Linked DNA regions of Oryzias latipes. The protein of the gene in region 1 interacts with the protein of each later gene in a biochemical or structural test. Links are inferred from orthologs where the notes say so. Each region holds a gene or a part of one and is shown in the gene's direction. Other genes may lie near its edges.

Region 1 (2,957 bases):
AGTTTCATGGAAGATCTGACATGGTGGCACAAATGATCTAGAGAACGATGAGGAAACAGTCCAGAACTACACAGACAAACTGGTCAGTGACCTGAAGAGAACAGGGACCAAAGGTTACTATAGTAACACATGGCACCATCATGGCATTCTGCAGTTCTTGAAAGGTAACCCTGCTTAAACCAGCACATGGAAATAATTTCAAATCCATCGCCCAGGCAACAAGACAGTGGATACGTAAAAAGCATCTCAAGGTTCTGGGACAGTCTGGACCTCAATCCAATAAAGAATAAGTGGAGGGAGTTAAAGGTCTTAGATTTCAAGCAACAGTTCCTGAGAAGATCTGATGGACTAAAATATAATCTTTGAAAATCAAAACAATGTGATTTCCTGGATTTTTTTTTACATTCTTTCTCTGCCAAATGAAGTGTTTCTAGGATGAACATTACAGACAAGAATCAGCTTTTTATGCTTCAAAATTTGTGACTGACAAATACTTTTTTGCCTCCCTGTTTGGGTAGTTTAAAAAAAAGTTTGATATTTGATAAAACTCCCAAAGGAGCAAAGTCCTTAAACAAAACTGAGAACCAAAATGCCTCACATTATCAGTCAAAGAGGAGCCAAAAGATTATTGCAGCCGAAGGGAGCTTGAAAGAGTCAGAGGCTAAATGTCCTTGGCTAAAGCTTCAATGAAAGTGAGGCTTTGCTCAGCGGCAAGCCCACAACAGAATGTAAGACATTTCATTGGTTCAGGTAAAGTCCAAAGTTTAACTTAAGCAGATGCAAAAGAGATGTCCTTTTGTTCCTTTAAGAATATTCCCATGCCAGAACCCCAAGGGAAGGTGTTTTAAAAACTGTGGAGGGGGGGATTTGCTAAAAGTATAATAAATACATACATTTGCCATCCATTGTTCAGATTTGTTTTTCATTTTTGCTCAGTCTGGGGGTAATGAATTACTTGTGAAATTAAATGTTTGGTACGTCAACATTTTATTGACCTTATTTTCAGGACCTGACAAAGAAAAATCTAGATACCAAAAAAACTTAAAAAACAAAAAGAAACAAGTGTTAAGTGTCAAACATTTATTTATGCTCTCCCCCTTCTCCCATGCAGACATCTGTACTACTGCAAAGACATCGTTCTGCGGAGGAACACGTCGGGTAGCCTGGGCTTCAGCATTGTGGGGGGTCAGGAAGAAATGAACTGCAATCAATCCTTTTTTATCCGTTCCATTGTTGAAGGAACACCTGCTTACAACGACGGGCGAATAAGGTATTGAGGTGACCCCCATCCAAAAATGTTTTTGGCATGAGTGAAACGTTTAGGGTTTCACTCTGCCTTGTTTTTCTGCAGATGCGGGGACATCCTACTGGAGGTGAATGGGAAGAGCACCTGGGGCCTGACCCACACAGCCTTGGTTCGCCTCCTGAAGGAGCTTCGGGGCAGGATCACTCTGACCATTGTCTCCTGGCCGGGCAGCCTGCTGTAACGGCACCCCAGCCTCCCTGCACTGCTTCTGTGATAATGACCAAGGGATGTGGAGGCAGAGCTTGCATCGGCAGACTGTCCTTAGACTTCTTGGAGAGAGAAAAAGGACAGAGGAAGGCAGACACTGATTTCTCTTCAGGGATTTGACCAGAATCTGGGAGGGTGATCAAAACAAAACTGAACTGTGAGCAAAAGTTTAAGTTGCCCCTCCAGGAATGCTGAAATGGGAGGATCCAAGCCTGCCACTTTTCTGAATGGGATGTTGCGAGATGTTATTTACTTACAGAACATTGTCATTGTCTGGAATAACATCCAGTGAGTGGGCTGGGAGGAGAAGAGGAGACAACTTGTTGCCAACTCCAATAGATATATTAGGATATGTGTTAAGTTGGACTCACATTTCTTTATGTACTGTAAAAATGCTGGTTGTTGAAAACAGTAACAGTCCAATCACTTGTAATATGTTTTTTTTGGTTTATTGTATGGCCTTCAAACGTAGGCTTTATTCTGTTTGTACTGACAGTGGTTCTCATCTGTTAAACTAAAGACTCGTTGCCAAGTACTAGTCTGTGAGGTTTTTCTGTTTTCTCAGAAGCTATTCTTAATAAAGAAAACAATTGGCAAAGCAGGTCTATGACAACATAAAAGGATCAATGTGTTCTTAACATGTTGAAGTGACATTTAATTAGGTGACATTGTGGAGGCCTTACAAAGTTTCTTACTTTTAAGAAAGAAAAAGCTATAACTGTTCCTGTGCATCACTGGATGGTCTATCTCCTGTGGTTCTGTTTGTCACGCTTCGGCCTGTGTAGTTTATCTGATGGTACATGACCATAAAAGACTAATAAAGCTGTTCCAAAACCTGTTGTGTGGTTTAAACTTTTCACTTGTATCTTCACAAGTACAACACAAGTACAAAAGACATGAAGCAAAGCAACAAAATCTTTCTGCAAAACTCATGAGGTTTTCCTCTAAAATCAACTTTAGTCTTCAAAAATGTTCAAAAGATCAAATAATTGTTTGCATTGTAAAATGACATCAAAGTCATTCTTTCCTGTTAAATCAGGAACATTTCATTGTTCTTCCTGGTCAGCACAGTCTGTTGTGGAGCTGTTTTTTTACGTCTTGTTTTTTCTTCTTTTTGCATCTTTTACCATGGTCCTATCTTCAAATTTCCTGCTGCAGCTTCCCTGAGTGCTGCTGATGAGATAAATAGAAAAAAAGACCAATTGATTAATAGTTCTACTGTGTGTCTTTTAGAGTGTGTGTTTAGATGGACCTGTGTGAAACTCTGTCAGGCTTCCAGCTTCTGTCTTTCCTTCTGTTTTCTCCCATGATGTCTTTGAAGCTGCAGCATCTGTGGCTCTCATCCTTGGAGCTCCTGGCCTTTGTTTGCTCCTTCACTCTGTAGAGGACATTTTTCTTGTGGACTAATGTATGTACGTATATGGTCAATTTTCTAATGCAACAA
Region 2 (4,619 bases), on another chromosome or scaffold:
GGGGGGCATCCTGGGGGTTAATACTCCAGAGCAGGAGGTGGGAGGTACCAGCCTTGAGCTCCAGACTCTTTCACTGTACATTTTTGTTGGGGTTGTTTCTGGAGCAAGAAGCGAAATATGAAACTGTTAAACTCAAACGCTGCTTCACTAAAGGTGAATCCTGAGCTGCGGCTCAGGTGACCTCATGGTGAGGTCACGCGGCCGAAGCTGCTGGCAGCTTTTTTCCCAGTAAACAACAACATTATAATTGCTGTTTGCTATTACTGATAATGAATCAGTAAAAGCTGATTCTCTGTGGCGACCCTGAAGGGATCTGCTGAAAGGTGAACAGCATTTTTACTTCCATTCAGGGAAAGGATCCCTTTTCTCAGTGAAAATGTGGACATTAAAGCTTTATTACTGAACAAAAATATGGGTTTTAATCCAACAACAGCCACAAATACTTCCTGTGGGGGGTCATATTTTAAGCCAGACAGTATTTATTTGAGCAAAACTTATATTTGAAAAATGAAGCTCCTCTCCCTGCGAATGCTCAGGAGCTTGTTGCTGATGTTGCTCATGTTGACCACAGGGGGGCAAAATACTTCAACATTTCACCAGGAATGCAGCCCCAGGACCTGCCAGGCCTGTTATGTGCATAAAAAGATAGAAGAGATGATTAAGAGGGTTGGCTTTCAAAGGCGTAGAGACAGTGTTAGAGGTCAGCAGTCAGAGACACAAGACAGAAGAGAAACCATCATCATAACCGGCTTTGCCGGCTGAAGCTCTGTGTGTTTGCCTTCTGATAGGAGAAAATATGCTGCTCTGCAGCTTTGTACCCATTGGAGCTATGTCAGGAATGCTGATAAACTTCTGGCCAGCTAAAGAGGCCAGTGTGTCGCTATGGGGGTAGAGGGGCGTAGGCCTGCGTGGGGCGGCTGAAGATGGTCAAATGATCAACATGATGATGGTTCAGACACGAGCTGTGCAGGAACTGTGGGAAGTTCTGCTCAAAGAAATAAATCATCGAATCAGTCAGACGCTGAAATAACGGCAGAGTGGAACATGTGTCAAATAGCTGTGCTTTCATAGTTTATGCAAAGCAAATGATTACCTTTATTTGGTCAGAGAGGGTGAAACAGGATGACACATTGTGCATTTTCCCGTTCATTGATCAAACTGGCAGAATCAAGAGTGGTGCCTTTATAGTGTTTTGTTAAACCTGAAAACCCATAAATGTTTATTTTTAATGGTTATATTTTGCATTGTTTTCACAAAAAATAGACATGATAATCAATCAGAGACAAACGAGAAAAGTAATTAATTTATAGAAGAAAATAAATACAAAAGAAACAAAAAATTTGCTAATTAAAATGAGAAAAACATTAAATCGTCTTTAGCTTTTTATGTTTTCTTTAATTTAATTAGATAAAATAAATGAATTTAAATGTTTTAACGTTCTTTTGTACTTTTTACATTTTTTATTTTGATTTTGCTAAACAGCTTACTAAAAAGTATTAATTTATTGCACAGATTAAAATTGTTCCTTCCTTTTTTAAATTAAAAGTTAAAATGTTTTAAAAATAATTTATTTACTCTAAAATCATCCTTATCTTTTTTTTGTCTTTGTGCTAAATTTCTTATTTGTCGGCAACCCCTCAGAATTTGGCCCAGTGGCCATCGATCACCGTGGACCCGCACGCGCCGGCCTATGAGCGCGCGCGGAGGCGGTCCGTTGCCAAGGGCGAGGTTTGGTTGAATCCTCGCGCTGCAGCCATTCAGCGGCGGCGGTTGGCCCGGAGGGTCTCGGTGACGGTTATTGTGGAATTTGAATTATCCGGAACGGGACGGCTCGACGGTCACAGTCGGGGCTTTAACGGGGCCACGTCTGGATCACGGAGGTGATCACAGGTGAGCGGGAAAGAAGGGTTAGCAAAAGGGGCTAAAGTAGCACTAGCCCGGCTGATGCAGTGGTGTTAGCCCGGTTCTGTGGCTCTTAGCTCGGTCTGTAATCTCTCTAATGACGCGGTGAGCGAGCAGGAGTGTTCAAACCGTCTCCGGTCTAATCTGTTACCGGGAAGAACCGAAGAAAACGGAGCCCTTTCGACGTTTTTCCTCGTCCTCTGATCACCTGGTTAACTTCCAGGTACCTGGTTTAACTTTCAGAGGTAAACGGGTGAGGTCAGAGCGCACGCGAACTGTCACGACACGTTGTTACACACGGCCCACTCGTGTAATATCACTGTCACAAGTGCGCACGCGGGTGTGGAAGTGCGAAGAAGTTCGGATGTTGGCTGTGTCACGGCTCACGTCGAAGCCTCCGCGAGCTCCGAGCTCGCGCTCTCCGAGAACGAGCCGTGACTCATCGTCCGAACGCGCAGCTTTTTTTTCCAGGTGTGATAATGGGGCCCGAGATGAGGTAATGGTATCTCCGTGAGACCGTCCGGCTGCCGGGAGTACCCCCCCCCCCCCCACTGCATCCACATCGGTACTCAGATTACTTTCCACAGGAAAAGAGGCGCGTGATTGACGGCGCGAGCCTCATGACGGACATTGGGAAGCGGGAGTCTGTCGTCGTCCCGCGAGGTCACAACTTTGTTTATGTGACGGGGGGGTCACGGTAAACAGTGATCGGGGGGGGGGGGGGGGTATGCGGAAACACTGCTGCTTTGTTTGGGATTTAAGGGGAAAGTTAAGGAGAATTGTTAACGTTACCGGGAAGAAGGTAAAGTCTAGAGTTTACAGTTCTAATATTTGACCGCATCATGCTGCTTATTTATGGCACAGTCTGTCACGTGCCGAAGTTCATGCTTTTATTATATGATCATTTATTAATTTACTTAGCATCTGGTGTTTAAATCTTGCTTTTCACGAAATAATAATTTTAATACACTTCATTTTCACACTTTTAAACTGCTAGAACAGCCATAAAGTTCCCTTATTTGTTTAGCAAAATTCAGAAATTTGCCTACTTATTTTTTTATTGCTTCTTGATTAGTAAGAAAATGTCAGTTTTATATGTTTCTCCATAAATAGGATTTTGTAAAATGCCATGAAGGATCTCATTCATCCAGCTGATGTCTTAAAGTTCAGCTGGGACGTTTGGTTCGGATGACTCAACTCTTTTTTCTTAAACTTTTTATTTGTTGTCTGACTTTAGATTAAATAAATTGATGAAAAATATCAAATAGAATTGTAACAAATCCGAATTTCCTCTAATGGAATACTTTGGACGGTAAATTGATTTTTGCAGGACAGGATCTCCTTAGAAATTCAAAAGTACTGTAGTTATTTGGATTTCCAAATGTAAAAGGCTTCGTTTGTAAAGGGTTTGTTTCTTCGGGTGCTTGGAGCTGCCCTATTTTAGGTGTATGTTTGGGTTTGAACTGGTCTTTAGAAGAAATGACAGATGCAGACAGAAAGTGCTGCTGTGTGTTGTAAAACAGAAGACATTTTATTGCAGATGATGATGATAACTGAGAGACCAAAATGATCCACATTTTCTAAGCTCACATCCTGCTGCTCATAATGAGCATGAAGGAAATTGAATGAGTTGTTGTTTTCTTTGTCTGATAAAATGACCCTACAACAACAGGAGGCACATCATTACTAAACATTTACAAGCATTAATGCCGAGTCGCTGGCCTGAGTGAATCTCATCAGAGTGAAATCTGCTGCATTTCAAAATGTCAAAGCTTTATTTAAAAACACAAGGTCACAGTGAGGAGGTCCTCTGAAGAGGCAGGTTCACATTCGGAATCAATTCAGCTCCAGTGTTTCTAATAGGCTGAAAAATGGGGGCGGGGCTTCTCTTTCCACAAGGTTGTTAAAGTAACCCATGGTCATCCCCAAGAATTAGGGGAGGGGCATTGGCAGTTTCTCACTGAAGCGCCCCCCCTGTGAATATGTCAGCAGCAGGAGGAGAAGCCCAGAAGGCCCAGTCCTCCTCTGTGGGGTGCGGTTTAGTGGGAGACATGATGTTCTCATGTAGGCACAGAGACAAATGGGATGAGGGATGGTGGGGCCAGAGGGATGGACTGTCCCCGTTTCTCCAGCATCCTCTGAGTTAGCGCCAGAGGTGGAGGTGAAGCTCTTTGATCTCTTCTCCACAACCTTTTCTCTACACATGCTTCAAGTTGCGGTTCATGGGTTCCAAAACCCCTTATCACCTTTGCATGGGGGGGTCATTTTTGTCCAATTTTTCTTGTGATGGAGGACATGTATAGAAGAAGTTAAGATTACAAGATTGGATTTCTGAATATTTCTTTATTCAAATCGTCATGGATCAGGAGCAGATAAAAACCTGCTGTTTTTTTTCAAACAGCAGGTTTTTATCTGCTGTTTGCAGCCTACCACAGCAGCAGCTGTGGTAGGCGGGGCCAAAGTCTCCCAGCTCCGCCCCCTTCTGATTCATCCACCTGCAGACAAATACATCCATGAACCTCTTTGGCTACGTTCACACCGCAGGCTGAAACGACCCAATTCTGATTTTTTTGCCCCTATGCGACCTGTATCTGATCTTTTCATGACAGTCTGAACGACACAGATCCGATCTATTCAAATGTGACCCAGGCCACTTGGGTATGTGGTTCTGAATCTGATACGTATCCGATCTTTTGAAATGCGACCTCTGTCTGACC
Region 3 (3,985 bases), about 160 kb from region 1:
TGCAACTTTGAGCTTAATATTATCTATAGATGTCCACCTTCAAGAGAAAAAATGATACAAGAACAAGTAGAAACACCAAAAACACAATTATCATCAGATTGAGTCTTTAAGAAAATGAAAGGGATATTTATCATGATATCTGTTTGAACACTGTGTTCTCAGGATAAATATTCTAAAACTTTACAAGGAAAATTATTTATTAATGACAAAAACAATCGGGGAAAAAACAGTCAACCAGGGTAACCAAATAAAAGAAAACATCTTACAGGTGCACACATATTCATTCACTTTTGGTTTTTTAAAATAATAACACTGAAGACATTAAATTCTATTCTACCATTTGTGACAGTCTGGTTAGTTTCGTATTATAGTTACAATTTCTAATCAAACCAGGAGAAGTGTTGGAATATTCTACACTTCAGAGGGGTTTGTGCATCATTTCTTAATGAGGTGAGGGTTTCTGTGGGAGGAGGAGGTGCAGGATGCAGGAGTATGCATCCTCACCAGACATGTCTGAGCAGATCCCCACAAAGGATGAGGTGAAAACACCTGGACTCAAAACAAAGCAAGGCAGACAGACAGACAGACCGACAGACAGGCAGGCAGGCAGGCAGACAGGCAGGCAGGCAGGCAGGCAGACAGGCAGGCAGGCAGGCAGACAGGCAGAAAGACCGACGGGCAGGCAGGCAGACAGACAGACAGGCAGGCAGGCAGGCAGACAGACAGGCAGGCAGAAAGACCGACGGGCAGGCAGGCAGGCAGAAAGACCGACAGGCAGGCAGGCAGACAGACAGGCAGAAAGACCGACGGGCAGGCAGGCAGACAGACAGGCAGGCAGGCAGGCAGACAGGCAGGCAGGCAGGCAGGCAGACAGGCAGGCAGGCAGGCAGGCAGGCAGAAAGACCGACAGGCAGGCAGGCAGGCAGGCAGAAAGACCGACAGGCAGGCAGGCAGACAGACAGGCAGAAAGACCGACGGGCAGGCAGGCAGACAGACAGGCAGGCAGGCAGGCAGACAGGCAGGCAGGCAGACAGACAGACCGACAGACAGGCAGGCAGGCAGGCAGACAGGCAGGCAGGCAGGCAGGCAGACAGGCAGGCAGGCAGGCAGGCAGGCAGAAAGACCGACAGGCAGGCAGGCAGACAGACAGGCAGAAAGACCGACGGGCAGGCAGGCAGACAGACAGGCAGGCAGGCAGGCAGACAGGCAGGCAGGCAGACAGACAGACCGACAGACAGGCAGGCAGGCAGGCAGACAGGCAGGCAGGCAGGCAGGCAGGCAGAAAGACCGACAGGCAGGCAGGCAGACAGACAGGCAGAAAGACCGACGGGCAGGCAGGCAGGCAGGCAGACAGGCAGGCAGGCAGACAGACAGACAGAACCTCCGGGCAGGTTCTCCTCCCATATGTCGCTTCATTTACTTCACAGCATAACTGCTGCGTCCACGTGTGGGCGGGGGAGGGGGGAGGCGACGGGGATCCCACCATCCAATCAGCTGTGAGTAGCGCGCGAGCGCCTTAAAAGCTGCGCGCGCGCGGCGTCTGGAGCTCAGTCTGTGCCAGTGGAGACTGCGTGGAGACTGTTTGTAGCAGAACTTTGCCGGATCTTTTGTTCTCTCAGGAGGAGAACCATGAGGCTGATCCAGAACATGACGACCATCACGGAGTTCTGCGCTCCGGAGAACCAGCCGCTCAGCCGGGTCATTAAGATCGCTGTCGTAGGGGGAAGCGGAGTGGGGAAGACGGGTAAGAATGCAAACCGGTCTGTCCAAAGGTGGGCTTCAGGCGCAGCCATGAATAACCACTGCGGTGTTTCTGCAGCGCTGGTGGTGAGGTTCCTGACCAGGCGCTTCATTGGAGACTACGAGAGAAATGCTGGTGAGTTTCGGAAGAAAAGAAGCTTCATGGTGAAATTTGGCTTGTAATTTCTGAGGTTTTCCTTTTGCGCACGCAGGTAATCTGTACTCCAGAGAAGTTCAGGTGGACGGAGAACAAGTCACCATTCAGGTTCAGGACACGCCTGGGGGAGAGGTGGGTGCTGCTTCTCAGAAGAAAACATTTGTGGGTTAGGCTGGCTGACTGGATGCCCCCTCATCCTCTTTAAATGGAACCTTCCAACCTCCTGTAATTGAAGATGTCATTTTCCCTGAAGGATTGCCTTCATTCCACCCATCTTTAATAAGCTCTCATTTGGGGTAATGGCTGTCTGGGACAGCATAGGAGGATAGCTGGTTCAGTAATCCCATTTGTCTGCCCCACACAGCATTCCAGACCGTACTAAAGTTCAGGTGTAGAAAGCCTGCTCTGAATGGACCCTCCTTGTGTAAAACCATTGACATAATTCTTTCTTTGCTCCTTAGATGACTAATAACGGCGTCAAGCTGCCTGACCATGTGACCTGCTCCATCCAGTGGGCGGATGCTGTGGTGCTGGTTTACTCTGTGACAGACCGCCGCAGTTTTGATCTGATCAGTCAGCTGCACCAGCTGGTTGTCCGGGCAGGAGGCGCCATTGTGCCCCCTGTGATCCTGCTGGCCAACAAAGCTGACCTGTTGCACCTGAGGAGAGTGGACTCCCAGCAGGGCCCCCTCCTGGCTGGAGCCCTGGGATGCTCCTTCTATGAAGTGTCCGCCAGCGAGGACTACAACCAAGTGCACGGAGCGTTCCACAGGCTCTGCTGCCAGCTGGCCAAGCAGCCCCCCGCCCCATCCAGCTCGCCACACACTGGCGCCAGCGCTGCCCCAGAGAAGAGACGCTCACCACTCATCCCCCGGCCCAAATCCCCCAATATGCAGGACCTGAAGAGGCGCTTCAAGCAGGCGCTGTCGGCTAAAGTCAGGACTGTCACCTCGGTGTGAAGGGAGCTGAGAGGTGATCTGGACCGGTCAGAGTTAAGATTCATGCTTCTCCACTGAAGCGGAGAGGGCAGACGAGGCATGAACAGTCAGCAGGAAGGAGACGCGGCTTGTCGGGGAGGAGCCCACCGTGTCAGATGGAAGACATCCTGGGGGGAGGTTCAACATCAGCTGAGGAGGAGAGGAGCAGCTGAAGGTGTGGAACCCAGGTCTGACTGAGCTTCGTTACAAACTGTCCCTGAGGCTCTCCTGGCATGGGGATGCAGTGTGTTGGCATGGGGGTGTCTGTGGCAGCTCTTCAGACTGCCTGGAGTCGTACCAGCATCTTCACCCAGAGCTGTGATGTCAGCATCTCATGTGTAAATATGGTGTTTGTATTTTGCAGCTCCACCATGGGAGAAGAGATGTAGCATATGTTGGTCACGACCACTATTGCACTTTATACAAATGTAAATGTCCAGAGGGCCTAGTCTTATTTATTTGGTTACAATTTTGTGCATAATAAATGTTTCAAAACAAATTATTGTTTGTTGCTCAGATGCATGAGGCTGATGAAAAGACTAAGGTTGCGTCAGAATTCCTTCCCTAATCACTATATAGAGCGTTCACCATTTTCTGGTGCTGTCCGAATCAACAATTCCAAATTCCACTACCATTTCCCAGAAGTCTTTGCGAAAAACTAGTGTGCATCAATATTATATGCTCACAAAATTGTCAAACATAGACCACAATGCACTGTGTCTGAACCATTATTGCCCCAAAATTTATTTACATTCATTTTTTTTAAAATATCAACTTTTTTAATTTTTTTTTAACTTGTCCTGTCCAACAGCTGGGCAGACAGACGAGAGCTGAGGGCCTCTTGTGTTGGACATATTTTGCTTTAACAAGAGGGGTTATTAATCTTCTGACAAACCAAAGGTATGTCTGAATAAACCCCTTTTGTAATTGAGGCCAAACTTTATTAATTTCAATCATGTCTGAAAATCTTTGGTGTTGGACCGGACGGAAAAGGAAAGAGGGGAAGAAAAGAGAGGGTCGCTAGAGAGAGGGGGGGTAGGGGGTGATAATAGGAGGGGAAGGGGGATAAGAAGACCATGAAGCAGCATACAGCAACAAGTTTACTGGTTGT

Evidence for each region.
Region 2: of the proteins of lnx1 (region 1) and numb, one has a biochemical effect on the other in vitro, tested with the Homo sapiens proteins (2 studies listed by BioGRID, with this or other methods). The link is inferred for Oryzias latipes from reciprocal best matches to the Homo sapiens genes LNX1 and NUMB.
Region 3: the proteins of lnx1 (region 1) and rasl11b form a complex in vitro, tested with the Homo sapiens proteins (2 studies listed by BioGRID and IntAct, with this or other methods). The link is inferred for Oryzias latipes from reciprocal best matches to the Homo sapiens genes LNX1 and RASL11B.

Annotation. Positions count from the first base shown.
Region 1 is NC_019862.2:756,662-759,618, forward strand, and holds the end of lnx1 (E3 ubiquitin-protein ligase LNX), read left to right. Parts: intron 1-1,111; coding exon 1,112-1,270; intron 1,271-1,351; coding exon 1,352-1,487; 3' UTR 1,488-2,349; downstream 2,350-2,957. Other genes in the region: fip1l1 (pre-mRNA 3'-end-processing factor FIP1), read right to left, coding at 2,605-2,686, 2,766-2,891.
Region 2 is NC_019880.2:1,035,146-1,039,764, forward strand, and holds the start of numb (protein numb homolog), read left to right. Parts: upstream 1-1,707; 5' UTR 1,708-1,890; intron 1,891-2,275; exon of another isoform or gene 2,276-2,398; intron 2,399-4,619. UniProt on the Homo sapiens protein: Regulates clathrin-mediated receptor endocytosis. Plays a role in the process of neurogenesis.
Region 3 is NC_019862.2:917,949-921,933, reverse strand, and holds rasl11b (ras-like protein family member 11B), read left to right. Parts: upstream 1-1,511; 5' UTR 1,512-1,629; coding exon 1,630-1,744; intron 1,745-1,819; coding exon 1,820-1,876; intron 1,877-1,952; coding exon 1,953-2,029; intron 2,030-2,358; coding exon 2,359-2,856; 3' UTR 2,857-3,373; downstream 3,374-3,985.